3 linked regions of the Oryzias latipes genome follow. The protein of the gene in region 2 interacts with the protein of the main gene of each other region in a pairwise test. Links are inferred from orthologs where the notes say so. Each region holds a gene or a part of one and is shown on either strand. Other genes may lie near its edges.

Region 1 (4,023 bases), on a different chromosome or scaffold from region 2:
CCAGTCGTTTCTTGTTTGTCTACTTCTGCGAATCCCAAGTGAGCATTTGAGTGCAGAGCGCCACCTGCTGCAGCGGAGATGTAACACCAGGGTAATTTGTAAATAATTGAATATTTTACATTTTTTAAAAGGGACTTTATTCAAATGAATTGTTCTCTTATTAATAAATAAATAAAGAGATTTGTTGTTTTAGTTTTGAGCCTAATTTTCCAAGATCCAATTATCTTCATCTTAAAAATCTTTAGATACAGTTCTAAATCTAAATATGAAAGACTTTTAGTATTGGACCTTTTTTTCTCTCCAAAATAATGGAAATGGTTTTAGGAGAAACCAATCAATCAATCAATACATACATACATAAATAAATAAAAAGCATGACCAACTCTATATTTGATTGTTTTGTTTAAAAATGCTAGGCAACAAAAACAAAAATAAAATTCTGAAATTGAAATGAAAGGAAAGGAAAACTGCTCAGCAAACGAGCAACCAGAAGAAAAACTTTATCAAAATCAAAAATCATACTAACACTGACACTCATGATGGCGCATCAGGGACACCATCAAAGAAGAAAAAAAGACATATGTATGAAAATAAAGTCATACAATTATTAAATAAAGTTAAAAGTTAGGAGCATTAGTTTGTACAACATGAGAACAAAGTCATACAGTTATGAAGAAAAATCTAATTTGTGAGAAGAAAGTTGTACAATTGTGAAAAATAATTCAACAATTTTCATATATAATGATAAACAAAGGCTTCAAAAAGTTGTAAAAAAATATTACATTTAGCTTTTAAAATGTGCAAAAAAACAGTTTTATACCTGATTTATCAAGAAATCTGTTTTTGTAACTGTATTTTTATGAATTTATAACTTTTATTTGACAAAAGCATGAAAAAACGTAAGTGGTTTATCAAAAATAGATGGTAATACTTATTATTTCTTGCAAAAATTGTTCTAATGCAACATATTGTGGTCTGTATTCGAAAATCTAGTGTGCATCGATCTGGTGTTGCACACTGGTTTTTCGCAGAGACTTCTGGGAAATTTGTAGGGCACTTGATTTTGGAATTTAAATGTGAATATTGGGCCATTCGATTTCGGAATAGATGCGGACAAAATGGCAAACGCACTATAGTGAGTAGTCGTCTTGTAATTCAATAGTTTGGTACTCATCACCAATTTCTGGTTTCCCCACTAAAATAAGTTTTACGACTCAACAGCGCCATCTCCCGACGCGGAGGCTAAACTGACGATGCTGAACATGTGAGCTGGTTGTTGCTTTGTAATGGTTGTCGAGCTCATGTCACGGACAGGTTGTGTCAAACGTAACTGTTTGGATTTCGATCGGTGTTGATTTTTCTGTCTGGAGAAGCAGCGAGTATCGGACCGGACCGGACCGAATCGCCGCCTGGCTGGAATCCTGCGGTGCCGCCGCCCGCTGTCCTTTAAGCTCAGACCAGCTAACGTCTCCAGCTGCTTTTTGTGATCAACAATGGCCTCTGTCTCCATCCCTGCGTGCACTGGTGCTCTGCTGTTGGACATTGAAGGCACCACCACGCCGATCACATTCGTGAAGGTAAATCTGTGGCTGGGTTCCTCCCTGCGGGGTCGTGCGGGCTACGGCTATGCTAATGGCTGCTTAAACACAATGAAAACTACAGATTTTTTTTTTTACTATTATGTATTATCATCTTTCTATTTTTATATAAGGTTATGATAGTGCAGATGGTGTAATTTATTCAACCATTTTCTCATAAATGCTTAAAAATATTAAACAAAACAACGTGCTGCCTTCACGGCCTTAGAGTATTCGTAATTCCGAGCTTTTCCTCTTGTAGTCATTGAACCTGTTTACACGCAAGTCTCCGTTCATGATGTGATTTCTTAAGATATCAGAATATTAAAGTGACAAAAAAAATGCATTCGTACTGTACACTAATGAGATATCGCATTAATATTTGTAGTATATCTCCCCGAAAGCCAATCCTTTTAGGCATTTTTCTGTCCCTTTCTCTCACATTTTGTATTTATACTTCTGCGCATGTGTAAACGAAACGTATGGAACGGAAGTTACGTAAAACCGCAAAGTTTTTATTTATTCGTTTAGGTATTAATTGTTTTTCACTAAATTTAGTGTGGTAAAATAAATGTGTCAAAAAGTGGTTTAATTTGTGAAAATAAAGAAATAAAGAAATAATAATAAAACATTTAAAACTAAATTAAAAAAATGTATCTCCTGAGAGTACTCCACAAAGTGTTCAGTGTATTATAAAACTGGAAATTTTGATCAACAGTAAACAATCCTGCCAAAAATATTCATATATGCATTCATAGAACTATTGTTCTATGTTCATATCACAGGAAGTACAGTTGTTTTCCTGAAAACTAACAGCTCCTTGCAGGTAAAGTTTATATTAATGATTTTTAAATGAGTTAACACAATTTGCATTTTGCAGCAACAGGAAATTTAACAAAGTGGGGCCTTAACTTGCTCACTTCCTCTTTTGTCTAGGTATGTAACAATATCTTACAAAAAAAAACTATAAATGAACCTGAGAATTTGGGATTACCGTAGTAATAGTTTGACCATTAATCAACAGAAAAAGGAAGCAGCAAAGATTACTTTTCTTTCCTTAATACTATTGTATTGTTTTCTTGAATTTAATTTAATCCTTATACAGAAAATAAAAAAAGGTAAATGTTCCCACTGTTATCAATACTTTATTAATAATAATGAGCAATCTGACCAATTCTGTAAAATACACATTTGTTTTATATGAAATGTTTGGACAATTCCATATGGGATTTAAGTAATCCTGGATTCTTGCTCCTTTTTTCCAGATGAATTTGACGTTTGGTTGGTTGATGACTTTTTTTTGGTTTAGGTAGATGTTTTTTTTTTGGATAGATGACTCGCTCATTCCATTTTAGTGATAAAACCTGGGGCACAAAGGGAAATGTCACCTACACGTTTAGGTTAATCTGACGCTTTTCTAAAGTTTTCCTCCGCTGTTTTGGAATCTTTGGAAACGTCGTTTCAACTGCCGGTCCTTTAAGCCAAAAGGACGTTTGTGGATTCTTTCCCAGACCGTGTCGACTGACAGACACATCAGCTCTAGACTGTCAGCGTTTTGGTTTTAAAGGAACAGGAAGTTTAAAAGTAACAGAATCGCGAGCCTTACTGTGGTGAATGTTGTAAAATCAGATTTTGTTACGTCATGTTAACCAAGACCTTTAAAAAAAAGGAAAGAATCATTTCAATCTTCAATTTGCATTTTTATTTGGTAATTTCTGGTTTTAAGATCTTTGTGGGTGTGATAACAACCTCAATGAGTCTGCATAAAAATCAAAACTGATGCCTTTACTTGCATCAGTTTTTCCTAGTTTAAATGACTCAATCTTTTTGTTAAGTCTTATTTATCCACTAAAGTGGTTCAGGACTTTTTGATTTTTTTAAAGTTATTATAATAAAAAATGTTTATTTAAAAAAAAAAAAAACAGTTAAAAAGGCCAGAATTAGCCTAGGGCCAGTTTTCATCAGTAATCCCCTGAACATGATGTAAAAAAAAAGCTCAGAGATAAACACGTTCAGCTTGTTCAAATGACTAGAGTTTAATGTTATAAATCCTTCACTCCATTGTTTTCCTGTTTCTCTTTCTTTTCTAGTATCTTCCACCATTTTTTGCAGCTTAACTTCTTCTACAATTTCTCAGCTATTTTAACTATTCAGCTATTCAAATGTTCAGCTCTTTCAGCTTTTTCCTGCTATGACTTTTGGTCCTTTAAATCCTTGAACTCTTCATGATATTCCAGGATTTTTTGCCTCCATTGTAATACATGGGGATTCTTTGGAAGCTCGCTGGTTCGATACCCGGCGCTCGCATTTTTCACAAACCTTTCTTTTTTGTTATTGTGCTGTTTTCACTTTATTTATGGTCAACTTTGACTATTTCCTCTTTAATTATTATTATTATTATTATTATTATTATTCCAATTATTACCCTTTAAGTTTCATGGACTTT
Region 2 (4,223 bases):
TACTTCACTTAGAACAAATGGTGAGATAATACAATGTATACATAAAAAAATGACAATTTCAAGCAGCCTTTAATGTGTTTTTTATTTTTTAACTCTTGTTCTGAGATGTAGGTACTCCCAGTTGCTGCTAACAACTGATTGACCTACTTTGGGTTGGCCTATGGAATAGGGCAACTACAGAGTGGTGTTTTACAAAACTAAATCCCAGTATTTGTTGAAGATAATTTCTTTTTCCATTTCCAAATTGAAGGCTAAGATTATTACTTTATAACAATAAATGTCAGAGATGGGCTAAAAAAGTCAATGTCCCAAGAAGACAGCCTAAGGACACCTTTTCTTCTCATTTGCACTATTTTTTTTTTTTTTTTTTTTTACAGATTTGCAGTTGATGTTTGCAGGGCAATAAGACCAGCAGTTGTCTTGGCAAACAGCTAATCACAATTAAGAAAAATATGAGATTCTGCAACCAGAGATAATTCTCCACAGGATTTAACCTGTAAAGATGGCCAAACCGCCGCTCACTGTAGATGGATGTTACTTTCTGAATTTGGAAGTGGGAAGAGTCGAATACCTTGCTGACAATTCTGCCTTCAAGTCAATCAAAGTGTTAAATTTAGGGAACAATTTTGGGTGTGATTTTTATTTTTTTATGCAGGAGTGACTAATGCAGCAACAATGTTGGACTTGCAACAAACGCTGGATGAAAAATGGGACGCCATTACACAGGAGTGTGTAACCAAACTGGGGACCGGTGGCGACTGAGGCTGTTGTAGCTGACTACTGAGGTTCCTGTTTATTAAATTAATTGTTTTCTGTCTTTTGACATTTCAATCATTCAAATCACCAGCAGCAGAATTTAGAAAAATGTTCATGGTCTGGAACCCACACTCTGTATTTACAATGGCTCACATGTTCCTTTCTGCTGTTTCCTTTGGGTAAAGAATCATGAAAAGTTTTGTTAAAGTTTACTATGTATGCAGGGCATAATGTTATTAACATGATAAAAAAAATATGTCAGAAAATGTTCCATTACTTCATGAAAAAGGCAGATGAACAAAGAAAGTACAGTAACTGACATTTCCAAGATAGAAAAAAGTTTAAAAACAAAAAGAAATATCTTCAATTATTTCTATCAAATTAAACTACACAAAACAAAATAAAAATAATATACTGTAAAAACTAAAATATTTCCTGGGAAAAAAGTTTTTATTGTGTGTCAAAATCCTTAGAATGTAATCGCTTTCTGGTTTTCTAAAAACATGCCTAAATACATCTGGGTGGTCATTTTAAAGTATAACTGTTTCTCTATATGGTTAAATAAAGGTTAAATTAACACATAAAAAACGTAATCGGTCCTCGACAGCACGAAGACTATGGAATAGACCAATTTACAAACAAGAATAGGGGACAGCGGCAAAAATCTATTCCGTTTTTCAATCTCATTTCGAACACATCTTTCATAACATATATAACAGGCTAAAGGAAAAGTGATCATTAAACCCCATTGGAATATTATCAACTGTTTGATTTGAAGAACAGAATGACATAGACCTTCAGAACCTGTGGTAGAGTCCTCCTCTTCCTGCCAACGTTCAAGTGTAGGATGTAGCAAGACGTGGCTAGCACATTGCTAGCGAAGGTACAACGTTTTTAAACATTTGTAAACCTGACAAGGACCTGTTTTGCTTCATGCCTAAGTAAGTATAGTAGTGAATTTTATTTTTCTCATAGTGTTTTTTATTAAAGTCGCTTTCATAAATATTTGTGCTATCTGAGATCCGTCGGGTTAGCTTGAGTGCTAACATTCATGAAAACCACTGTTTTGGTAGATGCTAACCCTATACCTATATTTGACATAAGTCAGTTCCTAATAACCCGTGACATGTGTTAATTTTTCTTTCTGAAGAAACACTAAATTTGTTATTTACTTTTATGTGTTTGTGTAAAATAGTTTAACATTATATATTAGTAAACTGTCAAAGGGAAAAGAGCTCCACGTAGCTAACACTAGCTTTAGCGGTACGCTAACTTTTGCTAAAGCTATCGTTTAATGATGCTAAAATCGAATTGTCAGGTGAATCTAACTCGAACCGAATTGGTGTCAGTATCCTATTTGGAAAGTACTCAGATATTGAAATCCAATCCTCAGATTTTAACCCAGTATAAATGTGGATGCCGATGAGATGCGGCTGAAAAATAACACAACTTCGGCTCAAGGGCACCGCTTTTTTATGCTGCGCATCAGCAGAACTGTTATCACGTAGGCTATTTTTTTTTGTCTCGAATAGTTTGTCTTTTCATATATGGTTAAATAAAGCTCTTAAACCCCTTATATTATCTGTTCTTGACACAGTAATTCTGGGAAAGAGTTGATTTTCTGGGGGTTCTTTTAAATCACAGCTATTTAAATATGTCAGCAAACATGGGAATTTATTTCAATGCTTTTTGTCCCAAAAAGCTAAATTAAACAAATAACAAACAACTTTACATCAAGTTTTTGATTAACATTGGTCTTTATTTATTTATTTGCCAGATTTTAGCATTAACGAGCAAATAGCTGTATAGGTATAGGTATAGTTTTACTTTCTTTAAAAAAAAAATATATATAGAGAGAGAGAGAGATAGATATATATATAGAGAGAGATATTTAAGAGGTACTAAGCATTTTTTTAACTAAAGTAACTCATGCAGAGAAATAATGTTTTCACCCTTTTCTCCTTTTTGCAAGTTTGGTAATTTTATTGTATGAATGGCATGGAAAAATATGAACACAATGCTTTTTAAGTAGTCCAAAACCACAAAGCTTCTTGTTGAAGATTTTTTTTCCCATGAAACTGTTGTGCTTTTCATTTTAGTAGCTCAGATGACTAACCTCAACAAGGGTGATGGACACATTTTTGCACAGATTTGGGCTCAAACAGTTTAATTACTTGCTGTTGTAATTTTCTTCAGCTTGCTGACTGATGTTTTCAGACTTCTTGTTCTTAGTTAAATCCCTGTGAGACCTTGACTAAAGCAGTTTTATGCGGTCACATGAAGTAGATGTTTTTTTTGTTGTACAAAATAAATCCATTTGTTTATGTTTTTAAACAATTGTGTAAAGGGTAAAATCTCAGTATGCCCTACTTTTATACATCCATTTCAGCACTTATTTTATGTAAATGAAGATATTACTAAATGATTTGAAAGTCTAAAGTCATTGAAATTACATATAATTAATCATTCCCATTTAAATGCTGAAATTTAAAGTGTAAAATTGTATTAATTGACATGTATTAATACAATTGTGTTGTTTCCTTCTTTGTGCATCACAACCGTTTGAAGTACTGACATTTTACTGTTTGTTTGTGTGCTACCTGTTGTTGATGCTCAGGAGGTTGTGGGTAGTGTACCATGGGGTACGATGTTACGAGGTTCCAGGGTGAGGTGGATGAAGACCTCCTCTGTCCTATTTGCAGTGGAGTGTTGGAAGAACCAGTGCAGGCAAGTTTACTTTTACAAGGAATTGGATATACAGTGATCCCTTGCTATAACGCGGTTTGCTTTTCACGGTTTCGCTACTTCACGGATTTGCATGGTGCATTGTGTTCTGCATTCTGATTGGCTAAAAAGTCACTCCGCTTCTTCTCTACCTGTGCGTCAATAACGTTGCAGTTTAATATGTGCACGTACGTAAATCAGCTTGCCAAATTTTCATTACTACGTGCAAATTCTCTTGATGGTGGCAAGTCGGTGTATAAGGATCTTTTTGCAAAGCAGAAAAAAGAGCGACAACAACTGCCTATCACTATGTTCTTCTCCCGAACAAACACAGCTGCACCGCGGGCTTCAAAAGAAGAAAACACTGCAGAGCTGAGTCAGGATGCAGCGGCTCAGTCTGAAGAGCAGTGAAATACACCTGAGTCACTATTTGTCCCACTGTACTTTGTATTTTTTTCATAATCATTTTAAATTTTCTCCCGTTTAATCCAATACTCGGGTCGCGGTGGGCGGGGCTAATCTCCGCGATTTGAAGCCTTCTGTTCACATTCATTAAAATTATTATTTGACAGTACAGTACAGAGTTATTTGTTGAAAAAAAGGTTTCTAAAGTACTTTTATTTGTGAAACAAATGCTTGAGCCTGTAAATTGGTTTGTTCTTTCTTTTCAATGTATAATAGAGTATTTAATTGTATAATAATAGTTTAAAAAAAATAAAGGTTTCTACTTCACGGATTTTGCC
Region 3 (4,182 bases), on a different chromosome or scaffold from region 2:
AGGCTTAAATAGCATTTCTTCGTATTTAATTTTTTCAAGCTATTAAAAAATGCTAAGCTTTAAAAGATGCATATTTAATGAGTTTTGATATCAAAATTTAGATTGTTTTTTTATAGCACTTTTTCCATCCACTTCTTTATGATCCGGTTTATTGCATCATTTCGAAGGAGCAGAACTTCCTTTTTTACGTATAATTATCTTTTTAGCAACAAAACAAAAAACACAAACAGGAAATAAGCGATCAGTAAATTTACAAACAAATTCTAACTAGTTTTTGAGCACATTTTTTTATTAGTGCATGAAATTGCACATATAAGGAGAGGAACTCTTGTAGGGTCTTTCATGAAAAAAAACCTGCAATTTCCAAATGATAATAACAAATTATAACAGCTAAATGAAGTTATTTTTTGTTTTCTTTGGATTGTCTTGAAGACTCATTCATCCAGGTTGATTCCATCATAGTAGTAGGTTTAGGGGCTGTCATCTAGACTTAGTTTTTAAAGTTAGAAGATGTTTCACCCCTTATCCAAGAGGCTTTGTCAATTCTGAATTAGCTGGTAAGAGCTGGCATATATATATATATATATATATATATATATATATATATATATATATATATATATATATATATATATATATATATATATATATATCCCCAACCTGGTCAGCTCTTTCAGCTGTTACTGACAAAGGTTGAACAGGTTCGGTTTGTTGGGTTTCAGAACACTTTATTTCAGACAACAAACTGTAGGCCGAGCCTTTACTTAAGCCGAACTAGCATTGTCGTTTACCTTCGCTGTCGAAATCCTCCAAAAAAACTTCCAGTTTTTCAATTTTCTGGTTGTTCTTTCGCTGCTTCGTGGTCCTTTTCCTGGGCGCCATGTCCGCTCAGAACTTCACAAACAGGAGAAAACTGTGAAACGTTGTTTTCGAGATGGAAAAAAATAAGCCGCCGAGGACGTTAGCAGCTATGTTGTTAGCTTTGGAATCGGCAGGAGTTTATCCGGCAGATTAATTTACTCCCGTTTTCATTCTTTGGTCTCACTTATGATATAAATGTTTTTAGATTCAATTCGTCTGAGTTTGAAGCGGGTTTTCTTACAAAGGTAACAGTTGTGTGGGTTTCCCTCTGGCCTGCCTTCTTCGCGAAGTCGTTTTCAAATGTCCGCGCGAGGCGGAGCCAAGACACAAATCCAGCCAATCAGGACGTGGATTGAGCCCCGTCATCAGGGTTCGGCACTGCGAATGTTCAATGCTGCGTTCGAAGACAACTCGGGAAAAAATGAATCGTCCCCTGATGGAAAGCGTTTCAGTAAGAATCAAAAAAAGCATTTTTGTAAAACAGCTGAAGGGCAGGAAATACTAAAAATAGTCACCAAGTAAAAAGTTTTTTTAACTCACAATTACAATTTACCCAATTTAACCAAGATAAATAGCAACTTCCTACAGACATGCCTGTGATTATAAATATAAAAAAAAGTTCTCAAAAAGTCCAGAAGCATTAACAAAACCAGTGGGAAAATATATCAATAAAATGTATGTATGTGTGTATGTAGATTTAAAAAGGAGAGCACGAAAAAATACAATTTTCCGAAATCAAGTGCCTTTTTTGAGGAGCTACTGTATTTATGGGGCACCGTATCTCCAAGGATCAGTAAAGGCAGCATATGTCACTACTTGACACCGGAAGCGCTTTCTGGTTCTGCGCAGAAAAGTAGTGCAGAATTTTGCTGAGGCTTTCAGACTTGGTCAGAACTATATTTACAGTCCCATCCAAGCCAGAGCGGAGGCCGAGGGCATGTCTGACATCTCCCGACCGACGCTCAGCGCCCTCCACCAGGCGTTCAGGAACAGCTTCGCCGCGCTGGAGAGCAACCAGCGGCTGTGGGGGAGCGAGCTAGCGGAGTGCAGCCCTCTCCTGGGGTCTCTGGGGAACCTAGCGGAGCAGATGAGAGCTCTCTCTAACGTGCGGGTCTCCAGCACGCCGCTCGGAACCTTCCCGAAGCTGGAGGAGCGGCTGCGCTTCAAACTGCAGGAGGCCGCGGACACGGTGCTGGAGAAACTCAACGAGAAGATGTGAGACACGCGACAACTCCACACACACGCGCCTCTCGGATGACGTCATCACAGGGACTCCTGTGACGTTGAAAAGACTATTAGCTCTGTTTTTTGTGACAGCATAAAAAAAGTTTGTTTCAAAATAAGAGCTCCTGTAGTACAGATACTAGCACCAAACCATATATTACAATTTCCGTTTAAAGAAAATATTAAAGATAAAACCCCAAATCAAAATAAGCCACATAAGACCTTTACCAGAAACTAGAACCATCATTAAGCTACGTTCACACCGCCCTCAGCGATGCGCGTTCAAGAAACCACCAATAAAAAAAATGTAAATTTGCATTTTGGTTTAAACTCTTGAAGTTTCTACGATAATTTCTGAGCTCTGTATGTACAAAAAGTGCATCTATTAAATGTACCTTAAAAGTTAAACCAGGTCGAACTTTGACCAATTAGGGACTCAGATTTGGTAGTGACGCATGGATGGCACCCCTTTAAATTTACGGAAACACCAACCGTTTGAAAGTTGACCATGGAGGACAAATTAATGATTTTGATTTGATTCCAGTCGGAATATATGACACTAAATCTTTCATATATTGGACTAGAGATGCGAAAAGAAAAAGCCTGGAGTCAGATATACAAGAGATTTGCACCACTTTGACATTTCGCACCAAGACTCTGCCAACTGTAGGTGGAAGACAAGTCATGGTCAATTGTAGAAGAAGGAGAAGCCCCAACCCACTAGCACTGTGTGAACACTATGGGTTAACATGTTCTGGAACGCGTGTCTTTTTTTTTCTTTTTTTTTTTAAATGGTTTATTTCAACCAATCAAATAAGAACAATACACAACAACAATACAATCATCAGTTATACATTCATACAATGACGAATCAAACTTAGGATATTTAGACATATTAATAAATATTGCTTGAAAGGGAGTGGAAGGAAGCGAACGTATATAATCCCACCCCGTTATACCGTGTCATATGCCAGGTGTGTCCATAGCAGAGACAGTGCTGATGCATTCAGGGACATCATGGTTTTTTCTTCTGCTCCTCATTCACAGCAATTTGAATAAAGACATTTTCAGATTGCCAATTTTAAGCATACTTTTCTTTATGTATGTCCTCGATCATCAGAAAAAGGCCGCAAAAACTTGTCAAAACAGATAAAAACATGATTTTTATCAGTCTTCAAGGGCTTCCTTGTCCGAGGACTAAGACAGACTCCTTTCCTTCTCAGGTGTCGTCTGCAGTCTGCCAGAGACGCCATCAGTAACCAGGTGAGGTCCGTCATGCAGCTGTATGAGCAGAACGCCACCAGTTTGGACCTGCAGGCCGTCACAGAGCGCTCCGCCGTCACCCCGTCAGTCGCAGACATGCTGGAGTGGCTTCAGGACGCCGAGCGCCACTACAGGCAGCAGTATCCTTCCTGTCTGTGCTGTTGGTACGGTCCGCAGCATTCATGGACGGCAAGGACCGGATTGTTTTTGCAATTCTTTTTTTCTGAGAGCGAAACGGCAAATGCTAAAATATTTACCAAGATCTGCACAGACCCGGTACCCGCTGCATAGGAAGGCTTGACATAGTCCACCCCCTACACACACAAACAAACAAACTAACAAATAAAATAAAATAAACATTCCAGTGGGAGAAACCATCACAAAAATGAATGGGGCAAAGATCTCTAATGGGGTTCAAAAAATATATTTCAAATCCTTCAATCAAAGCCAAAACGGAGGATATCCATAGAAAACTTTAAAATTATGATTATGATCATGCCCTCCAGGGCAAAACAAAAGTTGGCGGCGAGGGCGGGGAATGGTAGAGCCAGCAGTCTGTTTTTTTGTTTCTGTCTTCTGCTCTCCTGAGCTCATGTTCAGATTCCTGCAGAGGAAAGTTCTGCTGCAAACGCTCAGACCCAACGACCTCGCTCTGCTGGAATCCCTTCCTGAGAGGTGGAAGTCCCTGGAGTCTCCTGACGGCGAGCAGCGAATCACAGGTAACATTAACTGTCCGAAGCTTGAAACGCGAGCTCCGCCAACTCTGAGATGTGGGACTCTTGTCTCCTGCAGAAACACTTTGCAGAGTGTCATTTTTCCTGGAGCTGGAGTGAA

The links.
Region 1: the proteins of rnf41 (region 2) and enoph1 interact in binary tests that used the Homo sapiens proteins (3 or more experiments, as listed by UniProt). The link is inferred for Oryzias latipes from reciprocal best matches to the Homo sapiens genes RNF41 and ENOPH1.
Region 3: the proteins of rnf41 (region 2) and c11h1orf109 interact in binary tests that used the Homo sapiens proteins (3 or more experiments, as listed by UniProt). The two-hybrid records come from large-scale screens. The link is inferred for Oryzias latipes from reciprocal best matches to the Homo sapiens genes RNF41 and AIRIM.

What each region holds. Positions count from the first base shown.
Region 1 is NC_019870.2:2,828,085-2,832,107, forward strand, and holds the start of enoph1 (enolase-phosphatase E1), read left to right. Parts: upstream 1-1,222; 5' UTR 1,223-1,493; coding exon 1,494-1,577; intron 1,578-4,023. UniProt on the Homo sapiens protein: Bifunctional enzyme that catalyzes the enolization of 2,3-diketo-5-methylthiopentyl-1-phosphate (DK-MTP-1-P) into the intermediate 2-hydroxy-3-keto-5-methylthiopentenyl-1-phosphate (HK-MTPenyl-1-P), which is then dephosphorylated to form the acireductone 1,2-dihydroxy-3-keto-5-methylthiopentene (DHK-MTPene).
Region 2 is NC_019865.2:22,245,518-22,249,740, reverse strand, and holds the start of rnf41 (E3 ubiquitin-protein ligase NRDP1), read left to right. Parts: upstream 1-1,422; 5' UTR 1,423-1,697; intron 1,698-3,373; 5' UTR 3,374-3,393; coding exon 3,394-3,483; intron 3,484-4,223. UniProt on the Homo sapiens protein: Acts as E3 ubiquitin-protein ligase and regulates the degradation of target proteins. Polyubiquitinates MYD88. Negatively regulates MYD88-dependent production of pro-inflammatory cytokines.
Region 3 is NC_019869.2:20,075,803-20,079,984, reverse strand, and holds the start of c11h1orf109 (uncharacterized protein C1orf109 homolog), read left to right. Parts: upstream 1-1,379; 5' UTR 1,380-1,798; coding exon 1,799-2,076; intron 2,077-3,308; coding exon 3,309-3,488; intron 3,489-3,948; coding exon 3,949-4,067; intron 4,068-4,140; coding exon 4,141-4,181; 3' UTR 4,182-4,182. Other genes in the region: cdca8 (borealin), read right to left, coding at 792-882. UniProt on the Homo sapiens protein: Part of the 55LCC heterohexameric ATPase complex which is chromatin-associated and promotes replisome proteostasis to maintain replication fork progression and genome stability.